Linked DNA regions of Daphnia pulex. The protein of the gene in region 4 purifies or fractionates together with the protein of the main gene of each other region. This does not show direct contact. Links are inferred from orthologs where the notes say so. Each region holds a gene or a part of one and is shown on either strand. Other genes may lie near its edges. The genes, in order: serine/threonine-protein kinase grp-like, cyclin-dependent kinase 1-like, mitogen-activated protein kinase kinase kinase 7-like, hsp90 co-chaperone Cdc37-like, eIF-2-alpha kinase GCN2-like, src substrate cortactin-like and serine/threonine-protein kinase B-raf-like.

Region 1 (3,963 bases), on a different chromosome or scaffold from region 4:
GGAATGGCAAGTCCTGAAAATTAAGCTGTTTTATGAAACTACAATTAAAAACTCATGCTTTTTCTAGGCTGTTGCTGGCCTTTTAGCTGATTCCAGGCAAATTGTGGAAACTGCCAGGACAGAAGCTTCAAATTACCGTGCTGAATATGGAGGCAATATTCCTGTCAAAGTATATTCTAGCATTGGATAATTTTGATCATTCAGCTAAACTTAATATTTTTAAAAATTAGTATCTGGCAGATCGTGTTGCCATGTACAAGCATGCTTACACTCTGTATTCTGCTGTGAGGCCATTTGGTTGTTCTGTTGCTCTTGGATCTTATGATGAAATTGATGGCCCTCAGCTTTATATGGTGGATCCATCTGGAGTTTCCTTTGTATGCTCACTTTTTCCACCAATTTTTGTTTATGATCTAAAAAATATCAAAATTGTCCATATTTTAGGGATATCTTGGATGTGCTATGGGGAAAGCAAGACAGGCTGCTAAAACAGAAATGGAAAAGCTCAAGCTTAAGGATATGACCTGTCTAGAACTCATCAAAGAAGCTGCCAAGATGTTAGCTCTTTTTTTAACTATTTAATTCAGGTTAATAATTGGCTTTTTTTTTGTACATGCAGCATTTACATTGTCCATGATGAAGTCAAGGATAAACATTTTGAACTGGAGCTGAGCTGGGTAGGTGCTGTCACCCAAGGACGTCACCAGAAAGTCTCTCAGGAGGTGTTTGCTGAAGTTGAGCGATACGCAAAATCTGCACTTGAAGATGATTCAGATTCTGGCAATGATGATATGTGAAAATGGGAAATGAAAGAAGGGACCCGAGTTAATACACTTTGGAATACAATCGTCTTTAATTTGAATTCAAATGAATAATATCCAAAGTTCGCTAACTCCACCTAAATCCAGGTGTAGACCAAGCTTAAGTGTCTAACATCAAGGATTAGTTAAAATTGGAGTATTGTTGCCTAAATTTATATTAATTGCGTAGGGAATTTAACGGAGAATCCTATTACGTATTCATGTATCCGTACATGAAACTGAAAAATAAAATGACATAAATATGTTCACCTTTTTCATCATAACTCTTGTCATAACATTTTTCTAATAATTTTAGAGTATTCGTACCTTTTCTAATATTTTTTACGACGTTCAAGTTTGATTGATATTGTGTAATTTATATTTTACGATTTTAATTCTGAGAAAATTCATACGTGGTTGTGGCGCACATGCCACACCTTTTTACGAACGCACCCCATAACTGGGCGGCAAACAACAGAAGCCAAACAACAAGCTGACGAAAACTAGCGAGTCAAAATGCTTACACCTGTTTTAACATTTTATTAGGAAAATGAATTGGTGCAACTTGTTAAACTAGACTGGAAACTGTGTCAGTGGTAATTTTGTAAAGCAGATCTTCCCTACACCAAAAAGAAACGGAAAAAGTGGTATTTTTGCGATATTTTGTATTCCATTTTAAAGTGTCTAAAACAGCTTGTATCTTTTCAGTTAATCTCGTTGTACAATACATATTTATTCAATCATGGAAGACCAAAGTAAAAAATATGAAGGAAAAAACAGTGTAATTGAATTTGTAGAAGGCTGGGATATGATTCAGACACTGGGTGAAGGAGCTTTTGGAGAGTAAGAAAATTGTAAGAATCATGCAAAATATATAATTTAACAAATTTGTTCTAGGGTGAAACTATTAGTTAATGCCAAAACAGGTGAAGCAGTTGCAATGAAAGTGATTGATCTCAAGAAGCACGCAAATGCTGCTGAAACAGTCAAAAAAGAAGTTTGTGTGCACCGGATGTTGAATGATGTGCACGTGATAAGGTTTTATGGGAGAAGGGAAAATGGCAATTTTGAATTCATTTTTTTGGAATATGCATCTGGTGGAGAATTATTTGACAGAATTGGTAATATATTAATTTTTAAAATAATACTGTCTGCAATGATAACCTGTTACTCTAATTTCAGAGCCTGATGTGGGAATGCCTCAAGTAGAAGCTCAGCGCTATTTCAAGCAGTTAATTGCTGGTGTAAGCTACTTGCATAGCAGAGGGTAATTATCATAACATAACTCAAGTTTTTTCATCATTTTTTAAACAAATGTCCCCTTAAGATTATTTTACCAAGACGCTTTCGCGAATCTCGAACATACAACATTTCTTCTATATTTATTATAGGATTGCTCACAGGGATATAAAGCCGGAAAACTTGCTTTTGGATGCCAATGACAATTTGAAAATATCTGATTTTGGAATGGCAACAGTTTTTCGATTTCAAGGTCGAGAAAGGCATCTGGACAAGCGTTGTGGGACGTTACCTTACATCGCTCCTGAGGTTCTCTGTCGCAAGTACGCAGCAGAGCCAGCCGATATTTGGTCTTGTGGCGTCGTTCTTGTTGCCATGTTAGCCGGAGAATTGCCTTGGGATGTCCCATCTAATGATTGCCCTCTCTACACATCCTGGAAGGAATGTCAGATCACGCGATTGCCATGGACCAAGATTGATACATTGGCTCTGTCATTACTCCGGAAAGTGCTGATGCCGTTGCCCGGGAAACGTTACACTATTCAGCAAATAACTAATCATCAATGGTTTCAGAAGAAATTCAAAGTTCCTAGTATGAAATCCTTGTTTACTATTTGATGCCTTTCTTAACTTCCGACTTCTCTGAATTGAAGGTACATCTCTACGGACAGAGGAAAACATGCCAGTCTCTAAACGCCTATGCTCTGACGTAGTGGATGCTGGTTTATCACCGCCCTCATCCGATGCAACCCATTTGTCCTACTCTCAGCCTGGACTTGGATTCTTCTCCGGTTCTCAACCTGTCCATCAAAACGACACTAACGATGATCAAGCCCCTAACAAGCATCTGCCAGGCGCGATGTTTAGCTTCTCTCAACCTGCTCATATCGACGATATGCTACTGAACTCTCAGCTGAACACACAAACTGCTTCGGGTTCAAGCATCAGTTCGCCTCTCCAAAGACTTGTCAAGAGAATGACTCGTCTTGTGGCAAAAGTTAGCTGTGAAGAAGCAATCAAACATTTGAGCCAACAGCTAATCAAACTCGGCTACACTTGGAAAATTCACACTCCTGGCGTGGTATAACAAATAAAATGCTTAAAGAATATTGTAGTATGTTAACGTTCTTTTTGCGTTCATAGGTAACCATATCCACGCAAGATCGACGGAAAATGCAACTCGTCTTCAAAGCAACGGTTTACGATATGCAGACCATGGTGTTACTCGACTTTCGATTGTCGAGAGGCTGTGGACTTGATTTTAAAAGACATTTCCTAGCAATTAAACATAAGTTGGCAGATATATTATGTTCTGCACCAGTTACTTGGTCCATTGCCACTGCTACAAATAGCATTCCTTAATCTTTCAATTGTAATATTGTTTTTAAATACCAATAATGTTGCATTACACTGATTCATATGTAGCACAAGAGTCGCTTTTATTTATTCTGGATGACAAGGGACTTACAGGAGAATTTGATCAAAAAGTATTAAGACTGAAAGCAATTAAAATGGAAATTCAAAAAATCCTGGAGGTTTGGAACACATTTAGAGATGAAAAATGAATTTAGGACCAAGTTCAGATACATTAATATTCTTGAGAATTGGCCTTTCCTTTAGCAGCCCCCTTGGAACCTCCTGCTGGGGCAGTTTCGGTCTTCTTGGGCAGCAGAACAGCCTGGATGTTGGGCAGCACACCACCTTGAGCAATAGTAACTCCTGAAAGCAGTTTGTTCAACTCTTCGTCATTTCGGATGGCCAACTGCAAGTGTCTTGGAATGATCCTAGAGAACATTTGGATTCAGCAAGATATTCAGACGCATAATTGAAATAAGGTTTCTACCTGGTCTTTTTGTTATCTCTTGCAGCATTTCCTGCCAACTCCAAGACTTCAGCAGCCAGGTACTCCATCACGGCAGCCAGG
Region 2 (3,418 bases), about 5.3 Mb from region 4:
ACATTTATTATCAAGTGGGGGACATAGTTTCAGTCACAGATGAAGATGATGGAGTTTATTATGCACAAATTCGTGGGCTTCTGCAAGACCAATTTTGTGAAAAAAGTGCTGTATTAACTTGGCTCATCCCAACTCAAAGTTCACCACCCCCAGATGTGGGATTTGATCCACAGACATATATTTTAGGTATGTGAATTTTATATTTTTTTTTCTGTACAGCATTAAAACAGTCTTGGTTTAGGTCCTGAAGAAGAATTGCCACGTAAGCTGGATTATCTTGATTTCGTAATGCATGCGCCGAACGAATATTACAAACTGGATGAAAATGTTCGAGTGTCTAGTGAAAAAGAAGCTGGCTATATTTGGACAAGTATGGGTGCCGTACGAAGAACTATTCATTCATGAAAAATTCCACCAGGATCATCCGTTTATAGTAGAATAGAAAGACCAAGGCAGCCGGCTCTTTTGTTCTTTGTGTCTTTTAATGCCATTACAGATTCGTTTGTAAAACAATTCCATCATTTCTGAAGTTTGTAACTAAAAATATTTGTCACATGTTCTGCTACCTCACTGAAATTCGGAGGAAGAGTAAATTAAATTGTTTGATCTGTTTTAAGTGTTCTTTTCTAAATTTTTAAGAGTTTTCACAATTTTAGTAAGATATTTTCGAAAATTACATGTCGGAAATTATAGAAGATTTTTTTACCTGCTTGCACGGCTTTCTTAAAAATAATACTTGACCATTCCTGCATTACGGCTTGCCTTGCGGGTAACAATGTTTTTAGAAATTATTTTGTGCTGAAATTTTGAGCTGAAATATTTTCTAGTCTACCGGTAAAAATGTTTCGATTATAGTGGTAATAAACAGTTCATTTAAAATATAATGATATTTAAAAATAATATCGATAATGTTAATGAGTTTTTCAAACTTGTATAAGTTGTATGGGTTTTTATTCATTCATAATACTAGCGTCATTCGAACTAATAGACAATTATAACTTGAAATCACCAGCGGGAATTTGTTATTTTAATTTGAGTTTTAATTCAAAACCTTAAAAAAGTTTAAAAGAACTATAACAAATTCGAAATCGTATAGTAGGTTCGTCAAATACATCCATTTTGTCCAATGGGTTTCTGATTATCACCCATAGAGGGCCGTGATTCTGTGAAGTGATGAAGTCGTTTCAAAATTTGGCGGTTACATTCCTTAGTCCAACGGCCGCCACCGTCTCTTTGACATCCAAGTGTGCTCACCTTTTCCTTTAAAGTCGAGTCTGTGGAAACACGTTGGGTACGAACTTTCTTTACTTTGTTAGATTATTCTCTGTTTATCGTGTAACGAAATATTTTATGCAAGAGTCTTACGAATCAATTGATGACAATCTGATTTGCAGGTGGAATACGAAGAATACGTCACTCCAGTTTTTGTTTGCTGCCATTCGACTTCAAATTTCCGTTACTTTCCCGAGATTTCAATTCTTCACACTTTTTGGTTTTTGTTCTTGTTTCTTAACAAACAATAGTGATGCCTTCTGCAATGGAAGACTTTACCAAAATAGAAAAGATCGGTGAAGGTAATGATCCCTGGTACACTAAGCTGTGTAACTTGAACTGATTTTAAAACTTTTGTTTCGCAAAGGTACTTATGGTGTTGTCTACAAGGCTAAAAACCGTAAGACTCAACAATTTGTTGCCATGAAGAAAATCAGGCTTGAAAATGAAGATGATGGTGTTCCTTCGACAGCCATCAGGGAGATATCACTTTTGAAAGAGCTGCTACATCCCAATATCGTCTGTCTGGAGGATGTTTTGATGCAAGAAGGAAAGCTGTATTTAATTTTTGAGTTCCTGTCAATGGACCTTAAAAAGTACATGGACAGCATTCCAACTGGGCAGTTGATGGATAAAACTCTTGTTAAGTCTTATTGCCACCAGGTTTGCTTAGAAGATTTAGGACTCATTTATATATTGGCCTGATTTATATTTTCCCTCTAGATTTTGGAAGGCATTTTATATTGTCATAGACGTCGAGTTTTGCATAGAGATTTGAAGCCCCAGAACTTACTCATCGATAAAAACGGAATTATTAAGATAGCTGATTTCGGTCTTGGGCGCGTATTTGGAGTTCCCGTTCGTGTCTACACTCACGAGGTAAAGGAAAGAAGGTTCCCAATGCATGGACGTATACTATAAATTCTTTTGAACTCACGAAGGTTGTTACTCTATGGTACCGTGCTCCTGAAGTATTGCTTGGGTCATCAAGATATTCGTGCCCCATAGACGTGTGGTCGGTTGGCTGTATTATGGCTGAAATGATAACGAAAAAGCCATTGTTCCAAGGAGATTCGGAAATTGATCAGCTTTACCGTATTTTCCGGTAGTGTTACTTGTCCTTTTTTTTTTATTTTTAAAATTACATTTGTTCCTATTTTATTTGAAACACAGAGTAATGAAGACGCCCACGGAGGAAATGTGGCCAGGCGTTTCAAAAATGCCCGACTATAAACCTACTTTCCCTAATTGGAATACTTACCACCTTCAAAATTCCGTGAAGCAACTTGACTCGATTGGATTTGATCTGCTTCAAAAAACTCTCATTTACGATCCAGCCCTTCGTATCACGGCTCAGGATGCTTTAGATCATGCTTGGTTTACCGATCTGGATAAATCTATCTTACCCACCAATGTGCCTGCTTAATTAAGCATTCCTCATGTAAACGATAGCTACTAAACCTGGCCAACTTCCTGATGGTCGTTTCTTGAAATTCTGTTTTTCGCTTTTCCTAATCATCATTTTTTTTGCTCTCTGAGAGAAGATGGGTGTGATTCTTTTCCTTGGTAGCGAAGAAATTTTCTTCCCCCTTGTGTACGTGTGACTGTATACTATAGTTTCCTAATAAATATGCTCACGAGGACTACATCAGAAAATTGTAATTTAATTGGGAGATGTTCATTTTTATTTTTTATATCAACGTTCTGAATTAAATTGTCAACAATGTGAGTTTTTCGTTCAGCGACAGTTGAGTCTTGGTAAGTTGTGATAGATATAATACCATCAATAAATCCTAAATTAATAAAGTTTTACAAAAATTAGATTAAATAAGTAAATATTGGGTAATGTTTTCTACCTTTCGGTTTGAATTAAGCATCTCTTCAAATTCGTCGGGTGTCATTTTAGGTACCGAATGAACCATATCTAATAGAGAACGACCAAACGTGTTGTCAGCCGTTTTGGAGCCACTCATTACGTCGTCAACATAAGCCAAGATAGTGTCCAGCATGTTTTCCATCTGCTGCGAGGCTTCAACAATCTGAGTAAGATCCGAAGCGATGCCCGCTTGACGTTTAACCGAGGTTTTGGTTTTCTGGCAGGCATTTACTGAAAAACAATCAAAGATTAATTCCCAGTATACATACA
Region 3 (4,053 bases), on a different chromosome or scaffold from region 4:
CCAGCGTGTTGACTGAAGGACCCTTTCCAACGAGACCTTGGGTTCCCTCTCTCTTTCTCCCGCACACGACGAGAGAGAAGGAGAAGAGCGCAGCGACTGTAGAAAAAAAAGGCCAGGACGGAGGGGGTCCGATAGCTAATAGCAAATGTGTGCGTTAAAAATATCCCGCGTGCGCATCCTGTCCGTGTTCGTGTGAATCATCACCGCGAGCCTTCACCAGCGTTCTAAACAAATACTTTGATCGGGCAAGCGTGATCGAATTTTCTCGGGAAAATAAATCGAATGCTGATTGACCAACATTTTAACACATAAACAAAAGTCTGCGGCCGAAATCCGCATTGGAACAACAACCGACTACGGTTTCTGCACGGGAAGAATTTTTTCGATAGTTGCGCAACATGACCAAGTTACCCGCGCATCGCATTCCGCCTCTATACCAACTCTTATCTATTTCCTCTCTCTCTCTCTCTATTTAGTTCGTTCCATTTCTTTTCCTATTTGTTTCTTTTCTTTTTCTTCGTTCCTGGGTTAATGTGTCAACGCTCCGGCCTGTTCCAACTACTGGTCGGGTGATGCACACAGTGCTGACGCACGCATTAAGTATGCAAACGACTGCGTACTAGGAACTGAGTCACATTTTTACACGGCACATTGACCCAACAAGTACCACTGTACCTGTCACGATTGCATGACATGTAATTTTTGACCAGGATAGATTCAAACATTTACTCACCAATATGACGTTGACCAGGCAGATTTGAAATGCAAGGCATCGATTGCTGTGGAGTGACACCAGTCCATAATTGGGAAGGATTCCCGTGTGAAGAGGATCTGCGGTGGCCCATGACGCTCACATTTGCGGATTCTTCTACTCTTCTAGCTTCTGCTCCGCTCCATCCGGAAGAATAGGGTTGAAGAACTGGAAACGACGGTACTGGAGACGTAGGGACGCATATGTCAACGTGAGGAAATTCCGCTGATCTTCTCTTGAACGGATGATCGAATTGCTGAGGTCGACGGGGAGTTTCCAACGGCCCTAGTTGCCCTATACTTTCGTTGGCCGTATTAGTCATCTGTGGCTGATAAGGTGACTGCATTCTTCCTAGACCACCCTGTAAGAAATCCTCGCCCAATGGCGGTATGGCATAGCCTTCGGCTGACTCGTCGCTTTCTCCGCCAATGATTAGGTGCAGTGGCTCGCTAACAGTGCTAGTGCCTCCTATTATTCTAGGTGAAAGCAGCTTGAGGCTACTGGGCGTGACAAGCGAACGACCTGGCTGCAGCATGTTTTCCTTTTCGCTGAGCAGTTGGTTAAAAGCTGGCAGTAAGCTGTCTGTTTCTTCTCGATGGGCGGGAGTGACAGGACGAGCGGGTGAATGGTGGTACTTTGTTCTAGGAACAGGCAGTGATGTCAAAACTGCACTGGAACAAGAAGAGTTGCTCAAACTGGGGTCACTGCCACAACTTTCCAAGCTGGCTCCTGTTCAACATGTCCCGAATGTATATAAAAGGTAATAACAATTAATTCGCAAAATATTTTACCACCAGCTTCGATCAAATCCGATTGGTTAGGGTATTCGAGGGGTGGAATTTCGTCAGGGAAGAATTGAAACAAATGCGATATTTCTTTGACGACTTGCTCCATTGATGGTCTGTTGTTTGGATCTTTATTCCAACAACTTAAAAAAAGAAAGAAATGGATTGAAAAATTAGCATTCCACCAAAGTGGTTGATCATTACCTGGTCATTATGTTCTCTAACGGAACGGGGCAGCCTTTTATAAGAGGGGGACGCTTGCCTGTGTGAATGGCCCACATTATGGTAAACGCCGAGTCTAATATGTGACTAAACGGTTTTTGACGGGCTAGTAACTCCCATAAAATGATACTCCAACTAAACACATCACATTTTTCAGTGTAGTGGTTGCCTAGAAAAGAAGAAAATTGAGCCAATAATTTTGAAATTTGCAAATCTTCTTAAGTGTTACCTTCAAAAACTTCAGGTGCCATCCATGCAGCACTACCTTGCCCATTAGTCATTTGAGTTCTCATGTCACATGCAGTGCCAAAATCACAAATTTTCAAAACTCTACCCTCCATCATTAATAGGAGGTTTGGTGGCTTAAGATCTCTGTAAGCACCCCCACAATGAAATTAATTTAGTTACACACCAATGAAGTTAAATGTAAGAAAAAACACCTGTGAATGATGGCACAAGGCTTCATACCATGTAGGTAAGCTACTCCTCTTGCACACTGCAGAGCCCAGTTCATAGCGTGATGGAAGGTATAAGATATCTTGGAGCGGCAATGTAGAACTAGACTCAAGTAATGTAGTTAAAGTTCTAGTGTAAAAAACTGTAGGAATTTACCATCATATAATGAAGCTTCAGCCAATTCCATGAGAAGACAAACTGTTCTCTTTGTGGAAGCTCCATACAGCTTTACTATATTAGGATGTGATACTCTTGACAGTTGCCTTATCTCAATCATGAAGGTTTTTTGTTCAGCTGATGTGTTAATTTTTTTAACTGCCACAACTTTGGATCGCCAAACACCTCTGTATACCACCCCAAAAGTTCCTCGTCCGATTTCCTGCACGATACGCAGCCAATCTTAGTGTAAATAAAATCAGTACTTAATAATGGAATGTTACAAACCCGCAATTCTTCGACTTCACTTATATCTATTTCCAAGTCTTCTGGTATTGTTTTTAAGTCGCCAGAAAATGTTTCTGACGAATCCATGATTACAAATTATATTTACACAACTACAAATCCAAAAACAAGTTTTGTTAAACAAAATTTTTCGTATCAAACTTTTCGTCTGGTCCGATCTTCCTTCTTTACTGCCATCTAGCAACAAATTTTGTCACCACCACGAACCACCTAGCAGACGTCCCTGCTGGACTGTCACCAAGACAAAAGTTCACTCGTCTTTCAAAATCAACACAATGTTGGTTTAATGTGATTGTCATTGTACTTACTTCGTATGGGTAACTTAAATAAATATTTGCACGTTAAATTGCTTGTACAGCCTAATGAAAAGTCTTTGTAATAATCAATAATAACATGGCTAGTAGCCAAACGATTAGAGACTTTATTCTAATAAGCGAATTCTGTGAAGTCGAAGGGCCTCGTTGTGTTTTGACTATCCCAGCTGTTCTACCTCATCTGAATAACAATGAGAATTTCAATCTGGATGAATTTCTTCTTTACATAATGACAACAGATTATCAGAATTTTCCAGGGTATTTATTTTAAATTATTCAAAAATTCTTTGGGTTATTTCATACTATTTTAATCCCACAGGGAAAAGTTGGATGAAATATCTGATGTGCCTTGCATTCGGACCAACATCATTCAGAATTTCCATGCCATCCTTCATTACTTTACTTTGAAGGATTCTCAGGCAAGAGGAGGTGTGCGTCCTTCTTGCATAGCTTACATCACTCAAAATCAGACCAAGCTCTATCGTCTGAAAAATGAAATCCTCAATGTTCTCAACATGTCTGCCCAAATATTGAAAAATGCAAACATGAGGTGGATGGGGAGCTTAGGACAGGATGTTGGAGTACAGGTAGACAACAGTTACTGTACTTTGACCTCCTACAAGTATTATTTCTTTGATCCTTGACAGGAGAACAACACTATCACTAGTCTGCTTGACAAATGGAATCATCTAACTCAGCCAGAACCTGAATTAGGGGATCAAGAAAAGAAGCTTAAGCCATGGCATTTGCTCTGTCCCATAGGAATCTCAATTGTGATATCAGGTCTAATATTTGTGTATAAAATAACCTGTAGACCTCTGGAAGATCAGATCTTGGACCCAAAGGTGATTTGTTCAACTTATGATTTGTTTACCAACGTAAACCCCGATAATGTTGATTTTAAAGCTGTAATGTCTCAATTAAACAGTTTTATATTATGATCAGTTTGTATCGAGAATTCCAGAAAATAAATCAAGCAACACGGATATGTTTAGAAGATAGCTTTATAGTTTATACTTGAATTAGAACTGGTTCTCCAAAGGTGTTTGTTGTATAACTTCAA
Region 4 (3,542 bases):
CTGGTCAAGTCGCTTCTGGCGATGAGCGTCGCAAAGAAAAAGATCGAGTTAAAGACAAGAACAAGGATCGCCGGGAACGTCGCGATCGTTACAAGGATAAGTAAGCAATCAAATTATCGAATTCAACTTCAGAATTTAATGAATAATTTTTCACAGGGAACGAGAGCGTAGGGACTATGTTCGGGAGGATGGTGAACAAGTGCGAGTGAAGGAAGAACCGCCTGATGGTATTGGAATTAGCTGTTAATGAAAAATATCTATTACTAATTTGTGGAATTGAAATTTGCAGATTATGACTATACGGCCCAACAATATGATGGCTATAATCAATATGATCCTGACAACATTAAATACGAAGTGGAAGAGTCGCAATTCCAGACTGAAGAATACTAGCGTATGTTTTTATAGCAGTAACTTGTCTGTTCTTAAGGCTTTTTAACTTTACAATTTTAAAGTGAGGTGAGTATGAAACTGGAGGTAAAAACGTCAAATACACGTTATTCAAAAGCCCCAGTGTATTAATTCATTATTAATGAATATAATAATCCAAACTAGTATTTTAATTTTCTGCAACATTTTCTGCAATATTTCCAGCAACATTTCCGTCGGGTACCCACAATCCGGAGTCAACACATCTTTTCATATGAAACCGTGCTTCTTCTTCAGGTAGTGTTGAAATTGCTTGTTGAAGAAGCTCAATGTTTTGTTTTTCAAAACAATCCTTAAGAACCTACACAACAAAACACATGATTCATATATGTGGAAGGAAATTTATGTGTCTTGCTCAATTATACCTCCGGTAAACTTTCAAATACTTCAACGGGATCCAACCCTCCAGGACCAAGTCGTTTTTTCTTTTCTTCCTCCTCAGCTTCGGCAATTGCAGCTTCTATTTTCTCTTTCGCCCGCCGTTGTATACGGTCTTTGAAAGCTACAAGTTCGTCTTCAAATCCTTTACGATACTCAACATCTGCGATTTGAATTCTAAAAGAGATAAAATAGTAAACAATTCATTTAGTTATAGCTACATAAAGGACAACTTAATATAAAGATAAACCTTGAAAAGAATGAAGACACACATGATCTTGGATCTCTGTTAAGGTGCCTGGATAATTCAAGAATGAATTGCATGCAAATGCACTGATGGGCAACATGTTCCATTAAACTTGTTTTCTCTTCCATTTCTAAATTAATACACCAAATCACGAGATAGTTTGCTGTTTCTTCACAAACCAGCTCTGGATTTTCTTGAAGGAAACGCTTACTATCATCATACTTTTGTAGCATTCCATATGCCTTAAGATTTTTCTCATGTTTCTTGAAAAATTCACGTGTTTTGATTTCTTTCTCCTCTTCAGTGAGCTCTTTCACTTTTTTGGGTTGGTCAACATTGACCACAGTTTTTGAAAATCCAGGTTGACTAATTGTATCTACATTCCTAAAAAAAATATGCAAAAAAACCACAATTAAACTTTGAAATTAGACATCACATTAGGATATATTGAAGTGAATCTTTTAAATACCATGGCATCAACTTTTCCTTTTTTTTCATTTGTTCTTCATGATCTTCGAGTTCAATTTTTTTCGATTCTAATTCACTCAATTGCTTTTTCAAATCTGTCACATCAATACCTTCTTTCATCACCTGTTCATACTTACTTTTAACTTCTTTTAGTTTGGCAGTGTTCCTTTGTTAGAAAAGTTTGATTTAATGTAAACTTTAACAAAAACATTAAAGCTAGTTATTTAGCATTACTCATTTTTTGCTTTGAGAAACAGAGCTTTTTCTTGTTCCATTTCCTTCATTTTTTCTAATCTAGCTTCGTGTCGCCATTTGAACAGAGAAGGCGTGTCAACGTTAGGATGTGTATCATCCTCATCGTCAGATATCTGTAAAGTATTATGAAGTACGTGAGTGTTTAAATGAAACATATAAATAACGAATACTTAATTACGATACTTAATTACGATTAAATACTATACTGACAATAAATAGAAGGTTAGAGAACCCGCAAAAATATGGTAAAATAACAACACAACATTTTTGAAGCAACAATTTACCTCGATATTTTTCCATTTGCTGTAGTCTACCATTTTATTCGCGATAAAGTTAAGAACTTAATGGAAAAGTGGAAAGTGACAGATTATCTAAACGCTAACACTACGAATCTACGATTGTAGACTCGACAGAGTGGTGGCAGAAAACTGAACCTTTGCCTAAGTGATAACTCCAAAGAGGTACACCCCTCTGGCGATGGGTGGAGCTTGTTCCTGAATGGACTAAAGCAACTTCGTCTCTACTAAGGCCATTTTAGCTAAAAAAAGGGGGGTTTTAGTTTTAGCCTTTAGGAAAAATGAACATTATTGACACATTACACACTATTTACATAATAAAACCCGGACAAAATCGTAGCGTGGGATCTTAAAGAAATGAACCATTAAACATTTATATACGGGAAATAGGGGTCTTAATTCAAAAAATTTATTCATTATAAACTGATACTTATTTTATTAATAAAAAATGTCGTGACGATTGCAATCGTTCGATCGTGCGATCACGACCACGGTAAATTTTTAGCGATCGCGATCCAAACTGAAAAACGCGACCGGGATCGGAATTGCAGGCCAGAAATCGCTCGATCAGATTTGCGATCGTCGCTATCTTTAATTAATAAAAAAACCCTTTTTTTAAATAGCACCACCAATAAATTATTGTTTTTATTTTTATATAAAAAATTATTGTTATACATTAAAGTTTATAAAGTTTCAGTGATTAAATGTATTTTTGCAAATTGCTTTGTGCTTTGTCTTGATTCTTGAAAACGTTGGTAATCATTTCCCCTTGCCATCTAGCGGCGATCGCAAAAAAGATCACGACCTTGACATGATGTTTGTTTCTGTTAATCGGGCCGGGCTCGCGGTAAAAAAAAAATATCGGCCACAACACTGTTGATAAAAATGTGTTACAAATTTTTTACATTTTCGTTAACATTTATTATTTTAAAATTAATTTAACAGCGCGACAAAATGTTCGAGGCTTCGAGCCGTGTTTAACACGGAGTTTATGGCGGTTACCATAAACTTAAAATAAATCATTAAAAGACAATTAAAGTAATTCGAATAATACTAAAAGTAATTTTTTGTGTAAACTAATAGCGCTTATTTGTGAATGACGGTTTTTGTGAGAAGTTGATTTTTTGCGTGCTAAACTTCTTTCTATATCTGTTGCTGTGACTTCACATGTTGCGTAGTCAGCATCGCGCAGTACTCTGTTTTCACCTGGGAGTAACTCCCTTTTGAGTCCTCCTTCAAATGCATTCTTTTTTTCCTTCGAATGTCGTTTCTTTTGAGAGTCATATCTTCATTTGTACTATGGAAAAAAGCATTCCGTTGTAGGCTTTAACAAATCATGTTTCTAAACGTGGGCGAAATTCTCTTACTCGTTCGTTAGCTTTTTGTTCAATTTCAGACAGTTCGTTCTTAAAAAATTGATTCTCAGATGGGTCCTTAAATGGTTCTATGATTAAATCTTTCCATTCATT
Region 5 (4,038 bases), on a different chromosome or scaffold from region 4:
GTTGTTTTTCATATTTCTTCACCAAACCTTAGCGTCCGGTTCTCGACTAGCCAGTTGTTCTGGTGCTAAAAAAATGCAAAATTTTAAATCTATTTTTATCAGTTGGTTACAAATAGAACCAACCCCCTCTCCGAAATTATTTAAATATTTTAGTAAGAAATTCACTAATTTCAAAACAAAAAAAAAAACAGACTCCCAGACAGCCAAAATAAAACAAAGCTCACACGTTTTCCAGACAGAAGTTATTTTTTTTGCAACACCTAGTGAAATCTTAATAACGCGTTGAATAAAAGACACATGCAAGGTCCAGGAAAGGTCATAAAAAATGTATACCTGCATACGTTTGAGTGCCAACTCCTCTAGTAGCAGCACAAGTTCCAACTGCTCAGTTAATTAAATAATACATGAAAGGAATGACATGACACAAGCAGAAAGTGCAAGCTAAAGCGAACTTACAACCTGGAATTTTAGTTGATATCGCGCCATTATTAGGGACATTCGTGAAGTTAAGCACTGCAAGCCCGAAGTCTCCAATTAAGACCTGATTCGCTGTTGCATCCACGAATATGTTCTCCGGCTAAGATTAGACCAGAACTTACCATGTAAGTTAAATTAGTAATTTAGTTTAAAAAATGATACTTTTATATCGCGGTGAATAATATTGTTGTTGTGAATATAATTTATCCCTTGAACGATTTGGCGGAATATCGACAACTCGAGATCTATGCTGTTTAACACTCTTTTCCTTTCATTTCGATATTTCAACCAACTTCGCAACGTTTGTGGACATAACTGCATCTGAATATACAGTAACATCGCAGGAGATGGAAAAGATCGATTGAAACGCCAGTTGCTGCTCAACACGACACTGTGATTTGTCGTACCCACTTCACAACGGGTCTGAGAATAGCAACGTGAAGTTGAATTCGTCGGTGTATCACCTTCAAATATAATGCTCTCTCCTTATTAAAAACATAAGCTTCAATAACAAGAATAATCATTGCAGTGTCTAGTTTTCTTACCATTGGAGCTAATAACCATTTCACAATTACTGGAAAAGGATGAGCTAATATTTACTGTGGATCTGTGTTGAGACGAAATACTGAAATCATGAACATGCTGAACGATCCCACTGGAGAACGAAATGAAAAATTACTGACTTGAACAAAGCCTTCTTTGAAAATGAAAACTTACTTCTGAGTCTGTGGAGGACATCTTTCAAGTGGAGAGACATTCGTTGGAGTTTCACTTTCAAAAACAACACTATCACCTTTCAAGTAACATACGAAAATAAGCTTTCCTAACTAATAAGAGTAGATAGCTCAATTATTTTTTTTTCTTACTACTAAATGAATCTAGAAACGATGATTTTCGAATTCTTTCACGGGATTGGGAAGAGCTTATCACTGTGGAAAGTCGGTCGTCTTGAGAAGAAATACTGATGTCATCCATATGCTGAAGGATCTCACTGTAATAAACGACATTTGAAAATTATTCGGACTTCAAAAAGAAGGTTTCGCAACAATTATTATATGTACTGAAATGTTTGTGTTGGACAATATTCCAGCCACGCACTCTTATACGCAACTATGTTTGGATGATGAAGTTGAGAAAGAAGTTGCACTTCACGAAGAATTTTGGCAGCAGATTTTGGCCTAGAAATAACGAATTTTTTTTTTATTATTATTTCAAACTAGAAAAACATAAGGAAATAAAACACAAAAAAATACCCGATCAGAATTTTCTTGATTGCATATTCCATGTTATCGATAAAATTGTAAGCTTTATAAACAACACCGAAGCCACCAGCTGCTATAAATTCCATTTCTTTGAAATCTAACTGGTAACGCGATGTAAACAAATGTTCACTGCCATCAGTTGAGCTCCTAAGAATTTATAATGAAAACTCTCTTAGATGCTAAAAATGGGTTTTCCATGGAACAAGTAGTTACCAAATATTTCCAGCAACTGGAGATGGATTTGCAACAACCAATGAACCACCTGTTATAGGTGTTTGCCTACTTGTAGCTATCTGACGTTTTGCAAGGCAAAAGAGTTTATTCAAGTCTGAAGAAATTTTCAATCTCACTCCTGCCATTTCAGGGAATCCAGCAGTTGGTGGTAGAAGACGAGAGCTTACAAAGTATTTTCTTATTGCTGGATATACAGAACATTAGAAATATAGGTATAGAATTAAGATAATGAAATGAACTCACCATCATACAGTTCTTTTTGCTTAGCTGAATCAGTTTCGTGTATGGCACACATTCTTTCCAACATACACTCTATGAGCAATACATGCGGGAACTGATGACGGAGAGTAGATGCTAGACTAGTGGATTCTTCTATTGGACCTGAAATCATAAGAAAACGAAGATGAATTGTGAGATCTTCTTCAGAAATAAATACCATAAAAGGTATCAGCTCTTAAAAAAAATCGCTTCAAGTGTAAATTGAACAGATGACCTCCATCAAAGGTAGTTATAGGCACGGGTAGAAAACTCATTTCTCTTTCAAGTTCTTCTTCGATGTGAACGAAATGTCATGGAAATGTAATTGATTCCGCAGTGGTACTTTTCAGTCTATGAGGATTTCTCATAATGTTGTTCACACTGAATCTATCTAGATTGGTTGAGCAACACTAGAAATTTTAGAAGTTCATCCATACATTAAAAATTATTCCCTCCTTCCATCAAATCATTAAATCCATTGTAAAAACAACTTCAAACTTCGGATCACTAATTTTCTTTGCACATTTCAAGCAGTAGCAGACTACTTCATCAGAAGGCGACGCCGCCAGACGGGCGAAATAACCTTATCGAAATTGCTAGAACGTTGTGTCGCCTGTGTGCTAGTGGCGCTATAATAAATAAAAAGAAATTGCAAAATTGGAACAAGGAGAAAATCAGAAAATAAATTGTAAATTACATTAGTTGTACTTTATATTGAATAAATAAGAAAACGCATAATTGATAACGTTATAACAACTGATTGAATAACAAGATAATGGATTCGTGGAACCATTAAGTGGAACCCTCGGGACGTTTTCGGTTTTCAGTTTTTGGTCATTGGATGTCCTTGAACTCGCAACGTGATTATCGTCACTATATTTCATATTTAGTTTTTAAGTAGGACCTAAAGGAAGAACTTATTGTCGAGCTGAAGGTAAGTTGGAAATTGAAACCATTTTTTAGTGAACGGAGTGACTCCAGTGATAAGCAAATTTGACTCAGACTCACTCAACAGTCAACACTCAAGAACGGGTCACGTTTAAGGCGATGTGCATTTGTTTCTAAGCCCACTGCCCAATCAGCTGATCAGCAGTTCCTCACTTTCTTGTTTCGGGCGGCAAATTGGTCAGTATTTTTCACGTGCTGGACAAACACAGTTGACTTTTAGTATCCTCATTCTCATGTTTTTTCATATATCTGGTAAGTTAATTGGTCCTTGTAATGTTATTGTGGAATGTGATAACTTAACTAACACGTGATAAAGAGCACGTGAGTTTGTGATTGATTTATCGACCACCCACTTTAAGAACAAGTAGCATATTCACCTTATTTTTGTGACTTGGATTAAATCATTAAAGTATAGTAGTTCATAAACTTAATTGAAGTAATCATGCTGCTGCTGTATTTTAACGACAAAAAATATGTGCTTCTTTCATTTAGTGTTATTTAGAAAGATCTCACACCTTACCAGTTTTCCGCTTGTATTAAATTTTTTATTAACCACGAGGTTCTAAATGCAATGTATAAATAACTTCGAAAAATTGATTTTGTTGTTAGATCACATATTTAACTTGGGAGTTGTTTGATTGTGTTTCAGGTTTACAATTTTCAGTAGAATTTACTGATTTATTGTGAGGATGGAAAGGAAATCTTTTGGCTTCACACAGTCAAGGTTTATGACAAAAAAACCTTCACCACACAGAAACAGTGAGACTACTACTGCATCTCCCATTGTTACCCCTCCTGCCAATCCTTTCTCTCGTAAGCCACCACAGAACCCTGCAACTTCTGGACAAAGTAGTGAAAC
Region 6 (4,188 bases), on a different chromosome or scaffold from region 4:
GAACTCTCAAATGATTCCTGGGTCAATTGATGAATTCCCAAATCTGAAAGAATTTCACGCGAGAATCGGAGGGCTAGAGAAAGTTGCAGCTTATCTGAGTTCGGATAAATGCATCAAGAATCCTTTCAATGGACCTATGGCTCATTGGGGCGGAAAATAAGCTAAATGGTGGTAACCACTATCATATCTGTAAATTTAATCTGGTTCTTATTTGTTTGGCGTTACGAGAAAAAATGTAGACTATTAAAAGTTATTCAATATTTCGGGTTAATGGGTAATACAATACAACGTTAATGAAAAATTATGGAATCCCTTTTCTGCTTTCTGCCACTTTTTTTTCCGAAGCAAAATATTTTCAATAAGTCCCCCCCCCCCCACCAAATACCGTGCCATAGGCCTACCCGGAGTTTCTTTTTATCTTATACAAATGAAATAAAATAATAAATAAACCATATGTTATTACTGTATTCTAACAAATTTTTTACAAATTCAATGACTAAACCATGTAGGCACTCCTTGTTTAGAAATATTAATGCTTGTTTTCTGGGCATACAATTCTTTTGTCTGTTTCATAGTATTAGTTTGCTCATCATAAATGTCAGTACTGCCATGAATTTCTGGGAAGACAAATTTGTGGTCTTTGTGCTAAAAAACAAACAAAACAAAATGGTTACAGTTGAAGAAACATTAAACAAGATAAGTTTTCAAATTACCAGAGTTACAAAGGCTATTTTTTCATCATTTTCCTTAGTGACATAAGTGTTGGGTAAAGTTTTTGTTTTCCCTTTAAAGAAAATTATTCTAAGTGTTAGTAAAACATCACTTATTTTAACCTCAATAATGTTGTCGTACCCATTTGGTTGTAGGTGCTGACATGAACAACAGGGAGGTTGTAAATTTTTTCAAGATATTGTTTAACATCAAGCTTGGTCATTTGTGATGAGACAACAAACTGAACTTGATTAGGTAGCAAATTGTGGCTCGGTTTGACAAGCTTCATCCAAAAGTCAGGTAGGAACACCCGTAATTTAGGACTACCGCTTTTGAAAGCTGGATATCTACATTTTTAGATTTTTTAATCGTAACTAATTATAAATTTTGAGTGAACCCAATTAAGCTTTGAAATTCTTGACTTACATTCTCGTCGACATTTTCTCAGGATGTTTGAAGCCTCAACACAATCAGTTTGATGATTTCTTGTTTACTGTTTTCGTCTGCATTGACTGCATGGTGCATGCTTGAATCTTTATGCTGCGCCAAATCATATTTCAAACTTTTCATTAATGATATTTACACTTTTATACTCATAGAAACAATTTAAATTTTTTTTTTAATTATTATTAGTAGATTTTATGACGAAATAAAAATAAGTTTTTAAAATTCATTTCCGAATGGCATTGTTGCAAGATAAACTATCCGGATTGTTTAACTTCTTATCAAATAGAAAGGGCGTGTGACTCAACTTTTAGCCGGTTTAAATTAGTATTATATCTATTTATTAAAGAATTTGTACGTCAGAGAGATCATTAATTATCACAAATAATTTTAAATTAAAATTTATTTTTCTCTCTAGATTGTAATAACATGTGGAAATCAGCAGTTGGTTCCAGCATCAAGGCTCCTGTTGTCAACCAAGATGACGATGAATGGGATACCGATCCCAATTATATTAACAACGTAACAGAAGAAGAACAACGATGGGGTGGGGGAAGAACTGCGGGTGCTATTGAGTGAGCATAAATGTTTTCTTCAAGACATTGTGTATTTACGTTAACGGTTTCTGTCAATGTTTACAGTATGAATGCTCTACGAGAGCAAACGACTAAAGAAGATCTGGAGCTCAAGAAAAAGGTAATGGCTGCAGGACCTCAAGCATCTTATGGATATGGTGGAAAATTTGGTGTACAAGGAGATCGGTATGTTTTTCTTAGAAAACTAAAATGTGAATTTCATCAACTTTTGTTTTTGTTTCTTCAGTATGGATAAAAGTGCAGTCGGGCATGAACATATCGAAAAAGTTGAAAAACATGCTTCTCAAAAAGATTACACCACTGGTTTTGGTGGGAAATATGGCATTCAAAAGGACAGGTAAGAACAGGATTCATTTTTTGTACATCTTTCCAATTTCTTACTATTATTGTTTATTAAGGATGGATAAGTCTGCAGTGGGGCATGACTATGTAGCCAAGGTTGAAAAACATGGCAGTCAAACAGATGCTGCCAAAGGGTTTGGCGGCAAGTTTGGAGTTCAAACTGATCGAGTTGATAAGGTATTTCATTAAAATATGCGCATTATTGTTTTATTTCAGTTACTTTACAGTTATGCCCACTATTTTCTCACGTTTTATTTGGATCGGTTAAATAGAGTGCTGTTGGTTGGGATTATCAGGAGAAGTTGGTAAAGCATGAAAGTCAAACAGATGGTTCCAAAGGTTTTGGTGGGAAATTCGGCGTACAAACCGACCGCATCGACAAAGTAACAAATTCTATAACTGTTTGAACAAAGGAATTTTTTCTATTGAAGTGCAATTTTTAGAGTGCAGTTGGCTGGGATTATCAAGAAAAAGTGGAGAAACATGAAAGTCAGGTGGATGGAAATAAAGGTTTTGGTGGTAAATTTGGTGTCCAGGCTGATCGAGTCGATAAAGTATAACCTACCAATGCAATGTTATTGTAATCCAACTAATTTCTTAATTTATCTTTTGTGACAGAGTGCTGTTGGTTATGATTACCAAGAAAAAGTAGAGAAACATGAGAGCCAAGTAGATGGTTCAAAAGGTTTCGGAGGAAAATTTGGTGTTCAAACAGATAGACAAGATGCAGCGGCCGTCGGTTTTGATGAAGAACAAGGTCATGTTGGTACTACTTACGAGAAGGATAAGCCAGTTATTGCGGGTAACAATAAAAATTTCCGTTAAGTTTTTCTTGGTTTGAATTTATTAAACTCATTTGGTTCCATAGAGAAAGGTAAAGCGTCTTTGCTGAAATCCCGTTTTGAAAATTTTGCTGAAGAAAACAAGAAAGCAGCCATGGTAAACGTTTGATAGTTTCTTATTACAAACAAATGTATTACATCATTTTTCATTTCTTTAGGTTGTTCCTCCTCCACCGAAGAATCCCCGCCCAATGGCTAAGATAGCACACAAATTCGAAACACAGTCGACGCCTCAAACAGAGCCACCCATTAAACAAATCCCCCAAACAGAAAAACCTGTCCGACAAAACCAATTCCTCCCAGCCAAGTCGCCTGTTATACCAGAGCCAGTCATCCGAGAAAGTCCTGTGATTTCTCCAGTTCCAGAACCTGCTAGGTCGCCTTCACCTCCACCGACTGTCGTTCCACCTGTTCCGGCACAAACTCAACAACATATCGCGCAATCCCTTGAACGATGGAACGATGATCTGGCCGAAGCTGTCGAAGAAGTGGATGATGGAGCGTGGAGGGAGCAAGTGGATGAGCAGGATGACGCCTGGAAAGACGAAGAAGAGATAGGCTACGTCCAAGAGAATTCGAATTTAGAAACAGTTGCGGAAGAAACTGGATCCGGTCTTATTGCAGTCGCCCTCTACGATTACCAAGCTGCTGCAGAAGACGAGCTCTCCTTTGACCCGGATGAAGTCATTGTCAACATCGAAATGGTAATGTTTATTAATTTATAAAATGTGTTTAGTTTCTAACCAACTCTTTTGCTGTGCAGATCGATGAAGGTTGGTGGCGAGGGGAGTGTAGAGGACAGATAGGATTATTTCCCGCTAATTACGTCCAACTGCAACAGTGAAACCCTATCCAGTTTTTTTCGTCTTCCAGGTTTTATCCAACAATCCAAGGTTCTTTTTTATTCCCAATTGTTAAGCATTCTTTCCAAGAATTTTCCTTATCTCGTAAGCCAACCATATGGCGGTTCTTTTTACGCGTGGCGTTATATTCGTGTATTGTTGTCCAGTCAGTATTCACAACGCGGTGAAGAAAAACATTACTTATTACAGATTAGTTGATTTGATGAAAATGTGTGACGGAAAAACATCGTTCTTGCCTATTATTGTGGAAAGAGAATTGCAAGTTATCCCTTATCTGCATTTAATTAAGAACCAATAATTAGATGTTGTTTGCCGACTCAAATCACAATGCTTTGTTATGATTATTGTGCCGAGATCCAACCGACCAATCTATCTTATGCAGCCTGTTGA
Region 7 (4,232 bases), on a different chromosome or scaffold from region 4:
ATGCGCCTGTTGTTGTTGCTGTTGCGGCTCAGGGGGCTGATTCTCATGCTGCTCTTCCCGGATGCCATTCAAGCCTTTGTTGCTGTTGCTCCGGCCTCCGCCGTTTTGTACCAAACGTGTTAAACTGATCAGGCCAGCTTCTGTGGTTTTTTGTTTGTTTTGTTTGAGGATTTTAAGGTCGGGTTTCAGTGGTTTTGTGTACACGCAGGATTCCCCACACACAGCGGATTCGATGGTTTTGGGTTTTGTTTTCGGGTTTTTTTTTGTGTGGATTTAACGAAAATTTGCAACAGGCAAACGGAAAGAAAAGAAAACCAAATGTAAACGAGGCAAAAAAAAAATAAAATTTCGTGCACTTAATAATTTGGTTGATAAAAACGAAAACAAAAAATTGTGAATCAATGTTAGGGATTTTAAGACGGAGTCAGCCACTTCATCTTACAAGCCGATTTAAAAAATAAATAAAACACTTGCAAAAGAATAATGAAAATTTGGCGTACCTGTTGCAGCAAGGTTGTGAGCTTTGATACGATAGGACCAATCCTCTAACGCGGTATCGATGCCGCCTTGATTGCCGACCATATTGTAACAAACGTTAGGAGCCGATGTTGATCGTTCTCTTTGGGCTAGAGGTGGAGGGTGGCGTCGAGGAATCTGCATCGGCTGGAATGTCGGCGGGTATGTAAGGCCGGCTGTGTACGGGTACGGTACGGGGCCCTCTGGACACGATATTAACCTATCAAATATTCCATACAAATCAGGATTAGGTCATTGAATGTTTGAAATTCGCCATTTTTTAAATCTTTCTGGAACTTGATAATTTAACAAAAGTAAAAGCAAAAATGTTTCTGTTGCTGACAAAAAAACGCCCCTAAATTTAATTCCAAGAAAAAAAATTCCCAAGTACTTAGAAGACCTTCAGCGTAGTCTTTTGATCTCAAACTATGGCCAAGGTCTTCTAGGTATGCAATCAAATTTTCACTCTACGCTTTTGAACGCGAAAATTGGATGAGAGCAGACTCGCAACGATGTACCAACGCAATTTCCTTTTACGACACGATTACTCACATCTGTAGGAGTGTGTTTTCGGCTACGTGAGCCGGATTGCACAAGGGAGGGACGGCTGCAGCGCAACGCTGATGAAAACGATATCCGCACGTCCGACAATAGAAGCCTTGAAAGAGCAGGCGTCGGCAGGATTCGCAGTAAGCCAAAGAAAAGAATGTTTTGCGCACCTTTTCAAATCAAGTTTTAAATTAACGATTGAAATGTAAACCAATGTCGTCTGATTTTTTGTAAACTTACGAAATTGTGAGATATGCTGGTTGTGGCTGAGAAATTATCCTTAAGTTTAACACGAATCTCTCCACCTTCGACTGAAGCTATATCGGCATCCCATTGTACTTTAACCTTTGGGGAGAAAAATGGGGGAATATTGACATTATTGTTATGCGTGTAACTTGTTTTGTAATACCTCAGGCTGTGTGCATCGATAGACCGCGCACGTGGACGGGTCCAGCTTGCGCAGCTTCATAGCTTTTGAAAGGGCTTCACGCACAGTTTGGCCGGGTTTGACTTGTACGATCGTCCGTTGCTCGTTGGGCAGGTATGCTCGCACTACCGACTTTAGAGGTGATCGAGGAGGAGGAGGGATAGCAATTAAAGGCGGACCGGGAGCTTGTTGTTGATGATGAATTTGTTGTTGCTGGTGTCCATGATGATGACCACCTCCATCTGGCCCAAATCCTGTTTTGAGGTGTGGTGGCAATTCAGCATCGGAACAATCTTCCAACTCGTGACCACCAGGACTTTGTCGTCCATTGGATGCCGTAGCTGCGCTTACTCTTTCGATGAGTTCTTGCTCTCGGGCTTTGAATTCGTGCAATTTGCTTGTCAATTCATTGTATTCCTATTGAAAAACAAAAACCAAGTCATTCTGATGTCATAATGAAATGAGTAGGACATAGAGATTATAGATTTGTTCAAAGACAGCTATGTTTTAGTGGAAAAACTGGCTGCGCTATGGAAAATCTGCAAATGTAGTTTTATTCGACTTTTGATGATAAATGAGCTTTCAGAAGGGAAATTGAGGGGTGGAACTAAAGAAAACTGAATTGCACTTACAGCTATGTACATCAAGGGTGGGTGTTGGAATCCAGCAAACTGTGCATTGAGCGCATCAATATTTTCTTTGGTGAGGCGAATGACACTTTGAATGTTCCGCAGCTGCAAAGAAAACACAAGAAACAATGAATTAGAAAGCCTTGTATCAAGCAAAACACTATTGAAAAGATAAGTAGGCATTTTGAAGTTGATGCTCAATGATGGACCTCAATTGATATGATATTGAATGTCTGTTTTGAGGCTGTCACTGAATCAAAACAATTCAGTGGGACAGTGTTCCCAAGAAACTTTTCCACTTAAAGCGATCAAACCATTGGGATTCTTTTTTGGAGCACTTTGTTTTCGGGAATGGTCCTCTTCGATATGAATTAATTTTGCAGATGGAATGCTTCGATAGCGTCAAAAAGAATAAAGCCAAACATCCCGGTGGAAAGTGAAACGAAATGACATTTCTCAGAGATCTCTTTCCTGGATGTCATTCTTCGAGCGAACCAAACAACACTGTAAATAGATAGTCACCTCATCGTGAATCGTTCCTGTTTCTTCATATTTGCGATGTCTTTTAGGGCTGGGAAGGGTGAAATTCGTCATTGTACTGCCGAGAAGAGTCTCGTTCACGGCCATCTTGGACCGATTTTTTTTCTCTCCCCCTTCTTCTTCCATTTATTATTTTTTTCCCTTTCATTCGCTGGGCACCAAAGTCTTGGCGATCGCGCTAGATGGCTTCAAACTTGAAACGACATCTAGCGGCAACGCATCAAATCACTTTTTTTATTATAATCACGTGATCTTTTGTTTATTGTTTATGCGGAAATGGGAACTGCCGATTGCGTGTATATTATGTAAATAACTGCGAGTGGAGTTGAAGGCTAAAATATTGATATACAGCATATCTATTTATTTTTCACTAAACTAATCAAGTAAAGAACAAGTTGTACAGGATCAAGCAATGCCCTTAAAGAAAAGTGACTGACATGGTAAAATACCGCGTAAATTTGAAAGAAAAACGGCCAGCCATAAAAGTTCCACAAATTGAAACGATGGCACGATGTTTCTGGCTTTCGAGTTGAATAACAATTGTGACTAAAGATAATTACGTAATTGAAATATTATGTCTCAATTGGGTGCTGCTGAGTGAAAGGGTTTTTTTTTTTTTTTAAAATCTAACAACAAAAATGTTTTCCGGTTGCGGCTTCCTTCTCGTAATCATCAGCAATTTTGACCCTGATTAAAGAAAATGTGGAGTAATTTCTATCATGAACGATTTCGAGCAAATGTCAGTAAAGATCCGTCATTTGCAAAACAACAAGGGATTTTACTAAATAATTAAAAATAACGACGGGGTTTCACGTAGCACTGTTAATATGCCGAAAACATGTGCCCGTCAAATTGGACTAGTACAATTGGGAGAAGGAATCGAAACTGGTTCTAGGTTCCAGCCAGCCAACAAAAAAACTAACAAGGAAATTTAAATTTGGAAATATTGTTGAAAAAAACTGAAAAAAAAGGAGTATTCTATCTAAACCTAGAACCCCAAAAAATATGTTTTCTGAGCGACTGGGACTAACGCGCTATCACACCGCATGTTGTTTTTAAATCATAATTCATAATTAATTGACTAAGAGGGTAAAGTTTGCTGAATGATTTTTCCTCAGCTAAACATGAAAAACTGAACTGAATTTGATGGGTTGAATCAATCGGAAGAGTTGGACTCCACTTCCTCTTGTGTAGACGAGTCTTCTCCCAAAAGAACGCACAATTCCTGTTTTTTGTTGTTAGAAGTAAAAAAATTGTTAGTTAACACGAAATTGGCACAAACCAGTTGGCAAGGTCACCTTCAGACGATCCTGTATACGAGGAATGCCAGACAGCTGCGCCTCCAAACGCTGTTTCTCTTCCTTGAGCGTAAGCCGGGTTTCAGTATTCAATGGCTCCAAAGTCCACTTGCCTTCACCATCAAATTGAAGCAGATGCGTATGGAATTTCCTACAAAAAATACAATCCGATTGCGTAATTTCAACTAGCAGAATTTTTGGATATTTTTTTGAACACACCATAAAGATGGGCGATGGGTGATAGTGAGAAGTGTAATATCAGCATCTTTGGCA

The links.
Region 1: the proteins of hsp90 co-chaperone Cdc37-like (region 4) and serine/threonine-protein kinase grp-like purify together in Homo sapiens (affinity purification with mass spectrometry; 3 studies listed by BioGRID and IntAct, with this or other methods). This does not show direct contact. The link is inferred for Daphnia pulex from reciprocal best matches to the Homo sapiens genes CDC37 and CHEK1.
Region 2: the proteins of hsp90 co-chaperone Cdc37-like (region 4) and cyclin-dependent kinase 1-like purify together in Homo sapiens (affinity purification with western blotting; 3 studies listed by BioGRID and IntAct, with this or other methods). This does not show direct contact. The link is inferred for Daphnia pulex from reciprocal best matches to the Homo sapiens genes CDC37 and CDK1.
Region 3: the proteins of hsp90 co-chaperone Cdc37-like (region 4) and mitogen-activated protein kinase kinase kinase 7-like purify together in Homo sapiens (affinity purification with mass spectrometry; 6 studies listed by BioGRID and IntAct, with this or other methods). This does not show direct contact. The link is inferred for Daphnia pulex from reciprocal best matches to the Homo sapiens genes CDC37 and MAP3K7.
Region 5: the proteins of hsp90 co-chaperone Cdc37-like (region 4) and eIF-2-alpha kinase GCN2-like purify together in Homo sapiens (affinity purification with mass spectrometry; 3 studies listed by BioGRID and IntAct, with this or other methods). This does not show direct contact. The link is inferred for Daphnia pulex from reciprocal best matches to the Homo sapiens genes CDC37 and EIF2AK1.
Region 6: the proteins of hsp90 co-chaperone Cdc37-like (region 4) and src substrate cortactin-like purify together in Homo sapiens (affinity purification with mass spectrometry; 3 studies listed by BioGRID and IntAct, with this or other methods). This does not show direct contact. The link is inferred for Daphnia pulex from reciprocal best matches to the Homo sapiens genes CDC37 and CTTN.
Region 7: the proteins of hsp90 co-chaperone Cdc37-like (region 4) and serine/threonine-protein kinase B-raf-like purify together in Homo sapiens (affinity purification with mass spectrometry; 5 studies listed by BioGRID and IntAct, with this or other methods). This does not show direct contact. The link is inferred for Daphnia pulex from reciprocal best matches to the Homo sapiens genes CDC37 and BRAF.

What each region holds. Positions count from the first base shown.
Region 1 is NC_060028.1:8,546,400-8,550,362, reverse strand, and holds serine/threonine-protein kinase grp-like, read left to right. Parts: upstream 1-1,263; 5' UTR 1,264-1,447; intron 1,448-1,508; 5' UTR 1,509-1,542; coding exon 1,543-1,643; intron 1,644-1,697; coding exon 1,698-1,921; intron 1,922-1,982; coding exon 1,983-2,067; intron 2,068-2,191; coding exon 2,192-2,631; intron 2,632-2,692; coding exon 2,693-3,120; intron 3,121-3,182; coding exon 3,183-3,401; 3' UTR 3,402-3,463; downstream 3,464-3,963. Other genes in the region: histone H2A-like, read right to left, coding at 3,628-3,823, 3,883-3,963. UniProt on the Homo sapiens protein: Serine/threonine-protein kinase which is required for checkpoint-mediated cell cycle arrest and activation of DNA repair in response to the presence of DNA damage or unreplicated DNA.
Region 2 is NC_060026.1:11,477,871-11,481,288, forward strand, and holds cyclin-dependent kinase 1-like, read left to right. Parts: upstream 1-1,140; 5' UTR 1,141-1,291; intron 1,292-1,394; 5' UTR 1,395-1,525; coding exon 1,526-1,574; intron 1,575-1,639; coding exon 1,640-1,935; intron 1,936-1,995; coding exon 1,996-2,151; intron 2,152-2,213; coding exon 2,214-2,377; intron 2,378-2,445; coding exon 2,446-2,698; 3' UTR 2,699-2,918; downstream 2,919-3,418. Other genes in the region: GATA zinc finger domain-containing protein 1-like, read left to right, coding at 1-186, 242-405; eukaryotic translation initiation factor 3 subunit F-like, read right to left, coding at 2,982-3,065, 3,129-3,379. UniProt on the Homo sapiens protein: Plays a key role in the control of the eukaryotic cell cycle by modulating the centrosome cycle as well as mitotic onset; promotes G2-M transition via association with multiple interphase cyclins.
Region 3 is NC_060025.1:3,027,484-3,031,536, reverse strand, and holds the start of mitogen-activated protein kinase kinase kinase 7-like, read right to left. Parts: upstream 2,801-4,053; 5' UTR 2,746-2,800; coding exon 2,659-2,745; intron 2,594-2,658; coding exon 2,371-2,593; intron 2,317-2,370; coding exon 2,199-2,316; intron 2,131-2,198; coding exon 1,988-2,130; intron 1,928-1,987; coding exon 1,741-1,927; intron 1,680-1,740; coding exon 1,543-1,679; intron 1,512-1,542; exon of another isoform or gene 1,481-1,511; coding exon 734-1,480; intron 1-733. Other genes in the region: guanine nucleotide exchange protein smcr8a-like, read left to right, coding at 3,070-3,248, 3,310-3,577, 3,638-3,931. UniProt on the Homo sapiens protein: Serine/threonine kinase which acts as an essential component of the MAP kinase signal transduction pathway. Plays an important role in the cascades of cellular responses evoked by changes in the environment.
Region 4 is NC_060026.1:6,136,961-6,140,502, reverse strand, and holds hsp90 co-chaperone Cdc37-like, read right to left. Parts: upstream 2,221-3,542; 5' UTR 2,095-2,220; coding exon 2,062-2,094; intron 1,891-2,061; coding exon 1,757-1,890; intron 1,689-1,756; coding exon 1,524-1,688; intron 1,439-1,523; coding exon 1,058-1,438; intron 985-1,057; coding exon 795-984; intron 731-794; coding exon 560-730; 3' UTR 501-559; downstream 1-500. Other genes in the region: U1 small nuclear ribonucleoprotein 70 kDa-like, read left to right, coding at 1-100, 157-227, 290-393. UniProt on the Homo sapiens protein: Co-chaperone that binds to numerous kinases and promotes their interaction with the Hsp90 complex, resulting in stabilization and promotion of their activity. Inhibits HSP90AA1 ATPase activity.
Region 5 is NC_060017.1:4,490,143-4,494,180, forward strand, and holds the start of eIF-2-alpha kinase GCN2-like, read right to left. Parts: upstream 2,801-4,038; 5' UTR 2,507-2,800; coding exon 2,467-2,506; intron 2,357-2,466; exon of another isoform or gene 2,355-2,356; coding exon 2,217-2,354; intron 2,158-2,216; coding exon 1,953-2,157; intron 1,887-1,952; coding exon 1,731-1,886; intron 1,656-1,730; coding exon 1,539-1,655; intron 1,495-1,538; exon of another isoform or gene 1,469-1,494; coding exon 1,344-1,468; intron 1,278-1,343; exon of another isoform or gene 1,271-1,277; coding exon 1,195-1,270; exon of another isoform or gene 1,133-1,194; coding exon 1,023-1,132; intron 963-1,022; coding exon 640-962; intron 578-639; coding exon 457-577; intron 382-456; coding exon 334-381; intron 66-333; coding exon 28-65; intron 1-27. Other genes in the region: restin homolog, read left to right, coding at 3,869-4,038. UniProt on the Homo sapiens protein: Metabolic-stress sensing protein kinase that phosphorylates the alpha subunit of eukaryotic translation initiation factor 2 (EIF2S1/eIF-2-alpha) in response to various stress conditions.
Region 6 is NC_060023.1:10,192,619-10,196,806, forward strand, and holds the start of src substrate cortactin-like, read left to right. Parts: upstream 1-1,388; 5' UTR 1,389-1,509; intron 1,510-1,573; 5' UTR 1,574-1,584; coding exon 1,585-1,730; intron 1,731-1,796; coding exon 1,797-1,916; intron 1,917-1,977; coding exon 1,978-2,088; intron 2,089-2,149; coding exon 2,150-2,270; intron 2,271-2,365; coding exon 2,366-2,476; intron 2,477-2,536; coding exon 2,537-2,647; intron 2,648-2,711; coding exon 2,712-2,895; intron 2,896-2,961; coding exon 2,962-3,032; intron 3,033-3,093; coding exon 3,094-3,639; intron 3,640-3,698; coding exon 3,699-3,779; 3' UTR 3,780-4,188. Other genes in the region: 39S ribosomal protein L23, mitochondrial-like, read right to left, coding at 490-645, 714-784, 853-1,058, 1,138-1,151.
Region 7 is NC_060021.1:7,350,480-7,354,711, reverse strand, and holds the start of serine/threonine-protein kinase B-raf-like, read right to left. Parts: upstream 2,801-4,232; 5' UTR 2,788-2,800; coding exon 2,644-2,787; intron 2,227-2,643; coding exon 2,125-2,226; intron 1,910-2,124; coding exon 1,475-1,909; intron 1,411-1,474; coding exon 1,306-1,410; intron 1,236-1,305; coding exon 1,069-1,235; intron 737-1,068; coding exon 501-736; intron 141-500; coding exon 1-140. Other genes in the region: ATP-binding cassette sub-family D member 2-like, read right to left, coding at 3,818-3,886, 3,960-4,110, 4,179-4,232. UniProt on the Homo sapiens protein: Protein kinase involved in the transduction of mitogenic signals from the cell membrane to the nucleus. Phosphorylates MAP2K1, and thereby activates the MAP kinase signal transduction pathway. Phosphorylates PFKFB2.